Linked DNA regions of Oryctolagus cuniculus. The main gene of each other region encodes a partner of the protein of the gene in region 2 in a complex. Links are inferred from orthologs where the notes say so. Each region holds a gene or a part of one and is shown on either strand. Other genes may lie near its edges. The genes, in order: S100A1 and CAPZA2.

The links.
Region 1: the proteins of CAPZA2 (region 2) and S100A1 are in contact, whole or in part, in an NMR structure (PDB 2KBM), measured with the Rattus norvegicus proteins. The link is inferred for Oryctolagus cuniculus from reciprocal best matches to the Homo sapiens genes CAPZA2 and S100A1. Residues at the interface, in NP_001009180.1 of Rattus norvegicus: Thr267, Lys268, Ile269, Asp270, Trp271, Asn272, Lys273, Ile274, Leu275, Ser276; in NP_001007637.1 of Rattus norvegicus: Ser44, Phe45, Leu46, Asp47, Lys50, Asp51, Ala54, Lys57, Ile58, Glu61, Leu78, Ala81, Leu82, Thr83, Ala85, Cys86.

What each region holds. Positions count from the first base shown.
Region 1 is NC_091438.1:44,676,713-44,681,112, forward strand, and holds the start of S100A1 (protein S100-A1), read right to left. Parts: upstream 2,994-4,400; 5' UTR 2,136-2,993; intron 1,816-2,135; exon of another isoform or gene 1,662-1,815; intron 299-1,661; 5' UTR 286-298; coding exon 145-285; intron 1-144. UniProt on the Homo sapiens protein: Small calcium binding protein that plays important roles in several biological processes such as Ca(2+) homeostasis, chondrocyte biology and cardiomyocyte regulation.
Region 2 is NC_091434.1:152,377,601-152,381,862, forward strand, and holds the start of CAPZA2 (F-actin-capping protein subunit alpha-2), read left to right. Parts: upstream 1-1,454; 5' UTR 1,455-1,554; coding exon 1,555-1,593; intron 1,594-4,262. UniProt on the Homo sapiens protein: F-actin-capping proteins bind in a Ca(2+)-independent manner to the fast growing ends of actin filaments (barbed end) thereby blocking the exchange of subunits at these ends.

The DNA.
Region 1 (4,400 bases), on a different chromosome or scaffold from region 2:
CCTGGGAAAACCCAGAAGAGAAGCACGAGAGAGGAGAGAGATGGCTGGGCTGAGGTGAGGCGGGGTGGAGAGAGAGACCACAGGGAGGTGCCCACTCCCTTCACCCCTCGCCCACCCCGCCCCGGACGCCCACTCCATGCTCACGTCCAGGAAGCCGGAGAGCTCCGTCTGCAGCAGCTCCTTCAGTTCTTTCTTGCTCAGCTTGTACTTGTCCCCCTCCTTGCCCGAGTGGGCGTGGAACACATTGATGAGGGTCTCCATTGCCGTCTCCAGCTCAGAGCCCATTGTGGCAGTGCACCTACCCCCCAGGCCCCCCAGAGCGAGGCAGTGAGCTGGGGACCAGGTCTAGGGTGTCTGGGGTTTGGGTGAGGGAAGCCTTCAGGCCTGGCCTTGGTCCCACAGCTCAGAACAGCTGTGAGATTGGAGTCCTGTTGCCTCTTATCTTTCTCTGAACTTGTACCTTGCAGGGAGACCCTGACACCTAAATTATCAGACCTGTGCTCTGTAGCCGAGCCAGAGAGCCAGGTTGGGGCATAGAGACACAGCCGCTGGCGCTGGTGGGCTCCAGAGGCCTGCAGTGGACACTCGCAATGGCTCCTGGCCGCCTGGACAGAGGCTGCTGAGGGTGGGGCAGGCAGGATGGTCACAGGACCAGTCTGGCTTCCTCTGGCTCCGTTTTCTATTTTTACCCTGGACCTTGCCTGCTGAGTGCAGCTAAGCTCTTCTGTGGGGGGTGGTGGGCTGGGGTCTCCTCTAAAGCCTACTCTGCCACCACCCTTAGTGTTTGGTAGTCTCTTTGGTACTTGGGTGGTACCTGATGGCAGGAGTGGCAGCCGGCTCGGGGGCCCCCAGGCCTCTTGGGCAGGGAGTCTCACTGCTTCCCAGCCACCTGTCAGCAGCTGGGCCCCCTTTGGTCCTTCAGCTCATTCTCCTGAACAGAGTCCTTGGGGCTTCTCTGGGGCACACTTCCCACGATCTCCAGGCTGTTTCCTCTGACTTCTCTGTAAAACCATCCCACCTCGGGGATGGGCGATGGGATGGGAAGGGAAGGAGGAATGTGCAGGCCTTTGCCCAGGCTCCAGGGCTCCCAGGGAGGGGAAGAGGAGACCTGGAGGCCAGCCTGACTGATGGGGGGCAGTGGGGCAGGGGCTTGGCACTAGTATGTTGGGAGAGGGAACGGGCTGAGTGCATGAGGTCTTTTGAGTTCAGGAGGCCTGGGGGAGAGCAGGAGAGTGGAGGGGTCTGTTGGGGAGAGGAGGGTGCCAAGCCAGGTGGCCCAAGGGGCAGCTCAGATGTCTCAGCTCAAATGTCGCCATCCTTCCCTGGTCCTGGGGGACTGGACCATGAATGGGCCCTGATCAGATGACACCCCAGTTCCTCAATGGGGCCCTTGTGAGTGTCACCTGAACTCTGGACATGAGAAGTGGTTGTCACAGAGACACAGGGGAGATGGAACCCAAGCCGGGGCTGATGGAGGGGATAAAAGGGTGCCCCAGGGAGGGAGGCCGCTGGCTCAGTTACCAGCGCCATCCAGGAGGGGCCTAGGATTTTATGTGGGGGTGGTTCTGAGAGGGCCTCAGGTCAGGGCAGATGGGAAAACTTGAGAGGAAAGAAATGGGGGGAAAGAGGCTGAGAAAGGGAAGGGAGGGGGGTCATGGTACCCGAGGACCTCTCTTCCTGATGTCACATGGGCTGTGCTCTGCCACCTCCAGACCTCCCTGGGCTTTGAGCTGGCAAGGTCGGTGGGGGTGGCAGAAGCTGAGCTGGCTGGAAGGGAGGCAGCGACACACCTGTTCTGCTTTCCTCTTCTAAGCCCTGGGGAGCAAGACCCCCTGCTGAGGCCCCTCCCCATGGGGGACTGAGGGAGCCTTGGAAGGGGGCCCAAGGGCTGTGGGAGGCGGGGCCCTGGAATCTCAGTGGCACAGTCCCCCCTTGGCTTCCTCACTCATTGGGCTCCCAGCCCCCACCACCTCCCAAACCTCATCTCCCCCAGATCCCAAACCCTGACCAACCTCTCCCAGACCCACAGTGCACCACAGTGCCATAGGCCATGGGCTCTTGGAGCCCCTCTGAAGCCCCCTGCCCCCAGGTGGGCCAGGCCAGAAACCCAGCCCGCGGTGGGGCGGGATACTCACAGTCAGCCTGAAGTGGGAGCAGGTTCCAGCCAGAGGGCCAAGGCTGCAAATGTGGCTTCCGAACTGTGCGGGACCTGTCTTCAGCCGGCCTTCCTCCGCCCACCCTGCCCGCCGGCTCCACCCCTTCACGGACAGACACCTCGGGGGCAAGGGGCCAGGAACGGACACAGGCGCCCTCTGTCTCCCGGGCTAGAACAGGCTGCCCTGTGTCTCTTCCCTGCGGCGGCTGCCGCCACCCCCCTCTCTGCTCTCTTGCTGGGCACAGGAGGAAGCAGGCGGGAAAAGACCTGCAGCGGGACCACTGCCCTGTTTCAGCGCCAGCTCAGCTGTGCAGCTCCTGAGGCTGCTGGGACCGGCGGAGGGCAGATTCTGCCGAGGGGGTCTCAGCCTAGGCGCCTCCACCGGAGTCTCCCTGAGCGGACCCCTTAATAAGCAGTTCAGTCTTGGGAGCCTCTTTGAGGGGTTTCAGCAGAGACCCCGCTGAGAGCTTTCAATCTGAGGACACCCCAACGGGGGCTATCTCAGCCTGGACTCCGTCTGTTCGTGGGCGTCTCAGCCTGGGCTGCCCCGACGGAGGCCTTGGGCTGCAGGGTCCTCGGTGGGGTTCCCGTGCTGGGCGCCCCATCGGCAGTCACCTCCTCTACCCTCCCCCACCCGACGTACACACTGCGGGATAGACACTGGGGTGTGGTGCAGCGCCCCCAGCCCCGGGAAGGAAAAGCCTCGTTAAGACCCCGGCTAAGCCGGGACCATCCAGGCAGCTCCGGGCAGCGCCCCCCAGCGGGGGCAGGTGGGGCTGGGGGCGAGCCGGGCCCCGGGCCCGAGTGCACGGGGGCGGGAGGCGTGATTGGGCGGTCCTCGGAAACTTGACCCAGTCGGTTGGGGAGTGGCTCTCGCCTCCTCCCCCCCGGCGTTATAAACCTCAGCCCTGCGCTGTCGCTCGCCGCCGCACCCAATCTCTTGGTCCCGGTGAGTTGCATCCCCCCCCAAGCCTTGCGGGGAGCCTGGGGAGTCTGTTTTCTTCCTGGACTCCTAGCTCCCTCCCCCGGAGCCAGGTCAGGCAGGGATTCAGGAAGTGGCTTGGGGAGAACCAGCTTCGTCTCCGCAGGAGTGTGTGTGTGTGTATGTGTGTTGTGTCTGGTTGTGGTGATGTGGGGGTGTGGTGGACCGAAGGGGGAGGGAAGAGCTGCGTGTCCCCTTCCTCTGGCCCTCCCCTGCCCGCCCGGGGCTGTGAGCGCCGGTGCCAAGCCCTCCCTGGGCAGGGAGTCCGCTGTCACTGGAAGGCTCTGCCCCTGAGGAAAGGGAGGATGGGGAGCAGAGAAGATGGGGCTGACCGCGCTGAGCCGGCCCTGACCACAGCTGGACGTGTGCCAGACCCTGGGCTTCTCTGTGGGGAAGAGCACCCACCCCCAGCGTTAGCAAGCTTTGGCTTGAGGCTTTCAGGCTGGGCAAGATCAGGAGGGACAGAAAACCCACAAAATGGCCCCCAGACTCAGAGGACTCCAAAGAAGGACCCCAGACTGAAAAGCTCCTCCCAGATGGAGGGGTCTCCGTAGTGAGTTGCCAAGACACAGGCGCTTTATCTTTTTTGTTTGTTTGAAAGGCAGAGAGAGCCCGTGGGCCCATCTGCTGGTTCACTCCCCAGATGCCCACAGCAGAGAGAGGTCTGGGCCAGGCTGAAGCCAAGAACTGGGAACTGCATCTGGGTCTCCCACTTGGGTGGCAAGAGCCAAGTGCTTGTGCCCTCACCTGCTGCCTTCCAAGGGAGCGCATTAGAGGGAAGCTGGAATTGGAAGCAGAGCTGGGACTCGAACCCAGGCACTCCCATATCAAATGTGGGCATGCCAAAGAGTTGTTTCTTCTTCTTCTTCTTCTTCTTCTTCTTCTTCTTCTTCTTCTTCTTCTTCTTCTTCTTCTTCTTCTTCTTCCTCTTCCTCTTCCTCTTCCTCTTCCTCTTCCTCTTCCTCTTCCTCTCCTCCTTCCTCTTCTTCTTCTCCTTCTTCTTCTCCTCATTCTTCTCCTCCTCCTTCTCCTTCTTTTTTTTTTTTTCTTAAGATTTATTTATTGGGGCTGGCGCTGTGGCACAGTGGGTTAAAGCCCCAGCCTGCAGCGCTGGCATCCCATATGGGCACTGGTTTGAGTCCCGCTGCTCCTCTTCCAATCCAGCTCTCTGCTATGGCCTGGGAAAGCAGGAAAAGATAGCCTAGGTCCTTGGGCCCCTGCACCCATGTGGGAGACCTGGCAGAAGCTCCTGGCTCCTGGCTT
Region 2 (4,262 bases):
CAATGCCCCAGCAAATTTAACAAAATCCCCAGCTGATGGCACATCAACTGTATCTTTACTCTCTTGTAAACTTGAAGCTTCAGAAACTGGAGTTGTGGCATAGCAGGTAAAGTCACTGCCTGCGACACCACCATCACATATGGGTGCCAGTTCCGGTCCTGCTGCTCTGCTTCCCATCCAGGGCCCTGTTAATGGCCTGGGAAGAGCAGCAAAAGATGGTCCAAGTGCTCAGGCCCCTGTTGCCTATGTGGGAGACCCAGCTGAAGCTCCTGGCTTCGGCCTGGCTCAGCACCGGCAGTTACAGCCACTTGGGAGAGTGAACCAAGGATGGAAGATCTCTCTCCCTCTAACTTTGACATTCAAAAAATAAATAAATAAAATCTTGAAGTCTCAGAAGGGTTGCCAAATTTCACATATGAAAGTAAAGAACATCCAGTAAAATTAGAAACGGGTAACTTTTCAGTGTATCTCAAATGCTTCATTGGACACTTTCTTTTAAAAAGCCATTGTTTATTTGTAATTCGTATTTTGCTAGTTGTCCTGTATTTAATCTGGCCACCCTATTAAGGATGGTAGGATCCATTCCCTGGCAAAAGTGCAGCGCCTCCCCCAACTGCTCAGTGTGTGTCTGAAGAATAGAGGAAGTGAGTTATTTGAAAAGAGAGGTTTTGGGGCCAGCACTGGTATAGTAGGCTAAGCCTCTGCCTGCCAGACTGGCAAATCATTTGGGCTCCAGTTTCTGTCCTGGCTGCTCCTTTCTCGATCCGGCTCCGTACTAATGGCCTGGGAAAGCAGTGGAAGACAGCCCAAGTCCTGGGGTCCCTGCACCTGCGTGGGAGATCTGGAAGAATCTCCTGGCTCCTGGCTTCAGATAGACCCAGATCTGGCAGTTGTGGCCATTTGGGGAGTGAACCAGCAGATGGAAGATCTCTGTAACTACCTCTCAAATAAATAAAACCTTTAAAAAAGTGAGATTTCTGCCTTTTTGCGCAACATTGAAAATCCCGAGACTAACACGATGCCCGGTGCACAATAAAAGACCAATAAACGTTGAACGAGTAAACGAATTTACCTAGCACAATCTCACAATTACGGACTGGGATTGTGTGTGCCTGTTTTAATTAAAGCCGAGTATTTATCTAAGGATCCTATTTGTACGCTTTTTCACATTGGAGCTGGCAGAGTTCAGGACTCGATGGGAACGAATCAAGAGCTCAGAATGTACTCGTCGCAGACGGGGCCCATATGGTCACTGGTGGGGAGAAATCCCCGTTCGTTCTCCGGAGGCTGACAAGCCTGCGGCAGGCAGCAAGCGGCAGGCGGCAGTCGGAAACGCTTCCCTCTCCCGGCTTCCGAGGCGCCCGCGCCTGCGCACAGCCGCACTCCGGGCCCCCAGGGCCGGGTTGAGGGAGGCGGGGCTCCCAAGGCGCGTGCGCGGCGGTCTGGGCGGCGGGCCCCTCCCTTGGCGGGGGCGCGCGACACGGAGGACCGCACCGAAAGGGGGAAGTCAGGTGGCCGCTGCCGCCGCCGCCACGGTCTGTCGCCAGAAGGAAGATGGCGGATCTGGAGGAGCAGTTGTCTGATGAGGAGAAGGTAAGAGCCGCGGGGGCGGCGGCGGCGAGGGTCGGTGCGGAGCCGGGAGAGCTTCGGCGTGTCACCGCCGAGTCTGGACGGTGGCGACGGGCTTTGGCCGACGGGCTGTGCCCTCGGCTGCCCTTCCTCCCCCGCCTCGCTGTGCCCTAGTGCCTGCCCCTGTCAGTCAGTCGAGGCCCCCGCGCGGGCGCCCGTCTCTGACGGGCCTGCTCGCGCCGCTCCTTGTAGGGTGTGTGCTCCGAAAATAGGAAGCGGGCGCCGGGCGGCGGCTGCGGGCCCGGCGCGGAGGGCGGGGGCGGGGGCGGGGGGCGCGAGCGGAGGGCGGCGGCTGCGCGGGACCCTCTGCCTCGGCGCCGGCCGCGGGGCCGCTGCGCGGAGCACCGGGGACTGCAGAGGGGGTCTGTGTTCCGGCCTGGGAGAGGCCCAAGGGCAGTGCCCAGCCCGGCGGCCTGGCCTGGAGCGTCGCCGGGGGTGAGGGGGAAGGGGGAAAATCGCTTAGGAAGCACTTGGGCCTTCCACTTCCCCCGCCCCATCGCCAGAAGGCTGCCTTTCCTCCTCCTCCTCCTCCTCCTCCTCCTCCTCTCCGGCTTCCCTTTTGCCTACGGAGGTTTCTTGCTTTTTCTTTGCTTCGCTTTCGCTGGAAGCCGTGCAGCTCCGTGTTCCTTGAGAGGGATCCGAGTTGCTCACAAAAAGACCCCTTCCCGTAGTTCTTTTCTGCCCCGGTGGGCAGCAGCCTCCGGAGGCGGGGGGCGACCTGGTGCCACCCCGTTTCTTCCTGCTGGGACTTCTTCCGAAGCTAGGCGGTGCAACTCCTTTTAACCGTGTGTTCGATGCTGTGACAGCAATGGAACCAGATGAGAGACTTAAGTCCTCAGACGTGTGAAATAAGAAAACCGATTCTAGAACTAATTCTCTCTTATTCGCCCGTTCCCTTTGGCTGCAGGGGAAGGCCTGGTTCTCGGGGATGGGCGGGGTGGGGAGGAACCCTAATAATTTTTGACTATTTCCTGGAGAGGACCTTGATGTTTCTCAGACTTAAAAGTATCTAACACGACGTGAATAAGATAGTGTGACCGTTTTGGAAATGCCCGTCTGTAACCATGCTGCGTGCCTATGTTCTCAAAATAGTAAGGTTTTGTAGGAAACACAGGCAAGTTACATTACGATGTTTCACAAACCCTAATATCAGTCTAAGGATACTTTTATTTCTTGTGTTCTTGCATCAAAATCTAAGATTCTCTTTCCCCAGCTGAGTGTGCAGAAGGCAGCTCTGTCTTCAGTTTTAAAAGTGTTTTCTGTCTATGAAGTGGTAATAAAGAAACAACAACAGAAAAAAAAAAAAGAGGAGGGGAGAGCAACAAGATTCTCCATAATGGACAGGCCCCTGTCGGAGATCCGGCAAAAGTTACTGGGCACTGTTCATATGTGTGGTATTGGTAAACAGGCCGGAGGTGGCAACTCAAAGTGGACATGAGCAAACACATGCATACACGGTTCAGTAGTGCGGTTTCTCGAAGAGATTGTTGTGCCTTTACTCAATCATTCTGAAGTGGTTGTTAGTAGTTCAAGTGGCTAAAAATGTAGTTGGGGAGAGAGTACTCAGTGTGGGAGTTAATACAGACCTGCCATGTGTTGCAAAGGTCCGGAATAGCAAAATGAGATGCCAAGATCCCTTATTATCTGGCACTCTGGGAGCACCAAGTTCCAGAAGGGGCAGAAGCTGGCCATCCAGCTTGCCCAGCATAATATTGGATGAGTGAGTGAAAATTCCAGCTTGGATTTTGGTGTTTCTGTTTTTATTCAGACTTTTATGAAAATATTCTGTAGATATTTTACATACAGATTTCATCCCTGTATATGCTAATTTAAGGAAAAAACAGCTCAGTCAGTGGAATTTTAATACTCGAATTATGAAAATGCTTTTTTCAATCTTTGGGGAGAAGGATGTTGGTAAGGGATGAGAAATTGTGATATTTTTAAACTTAAATTTAAATCATGTTACTCTTTCTGCTCCTTTATTTGTAAGCTTCGAAAACAACCTTTTTGTACTCTTAAGCTTTGAAATTTTCATTCTGAAAGGCAGATCTAAGGGAAGGGAGCTGTTAAGATTTGTGTAAAACCCTTTGTATATAGACAAATACATTCTTAAATTTGTTATGAACTTGAGGTGGGTAGTTTTTTTTTTGTTTTTTTTGTTTTTTGACAGGCAGAGCGGACAATGAGAGAGAGAGAGAGAGAGAAAGGTCTTCCTTTGCCGTTGGTTCACCCTCCAATGGCCACCACGGCCGGCGCGCTGCAGCCGGCGCACCGTACTGATCCGATGGCAGGAGCCAGGAGCCAGGTGCTTTTCCTGGTCTCCCATGGGGTGCAGGGCCCAAGCACTTGGGCCATCCTCCACTGCACTCCCTGGCCACAGCAGAGAGCTGGCCTGGAAGAGGGGCAACCGGGACAGAATCCGGCGCCCCGACCGGGACTAGAACCCGGTGTGCCGGTGCCGCAAGGCGGAGGATTAGCCTAGTGAGCCGCAGCGCTGGCCTAGGTGGGTAGTTTTATTATTACCATTTCACAGATGAGTAAAGAGAGGTTTTAAGAGCTTTAAGTAATTCTTCCAAGGATAACTAGGTAGAAAGTGGCAAAGATGGTAGTTGGATCCAAGTTTGTCAGAGTTC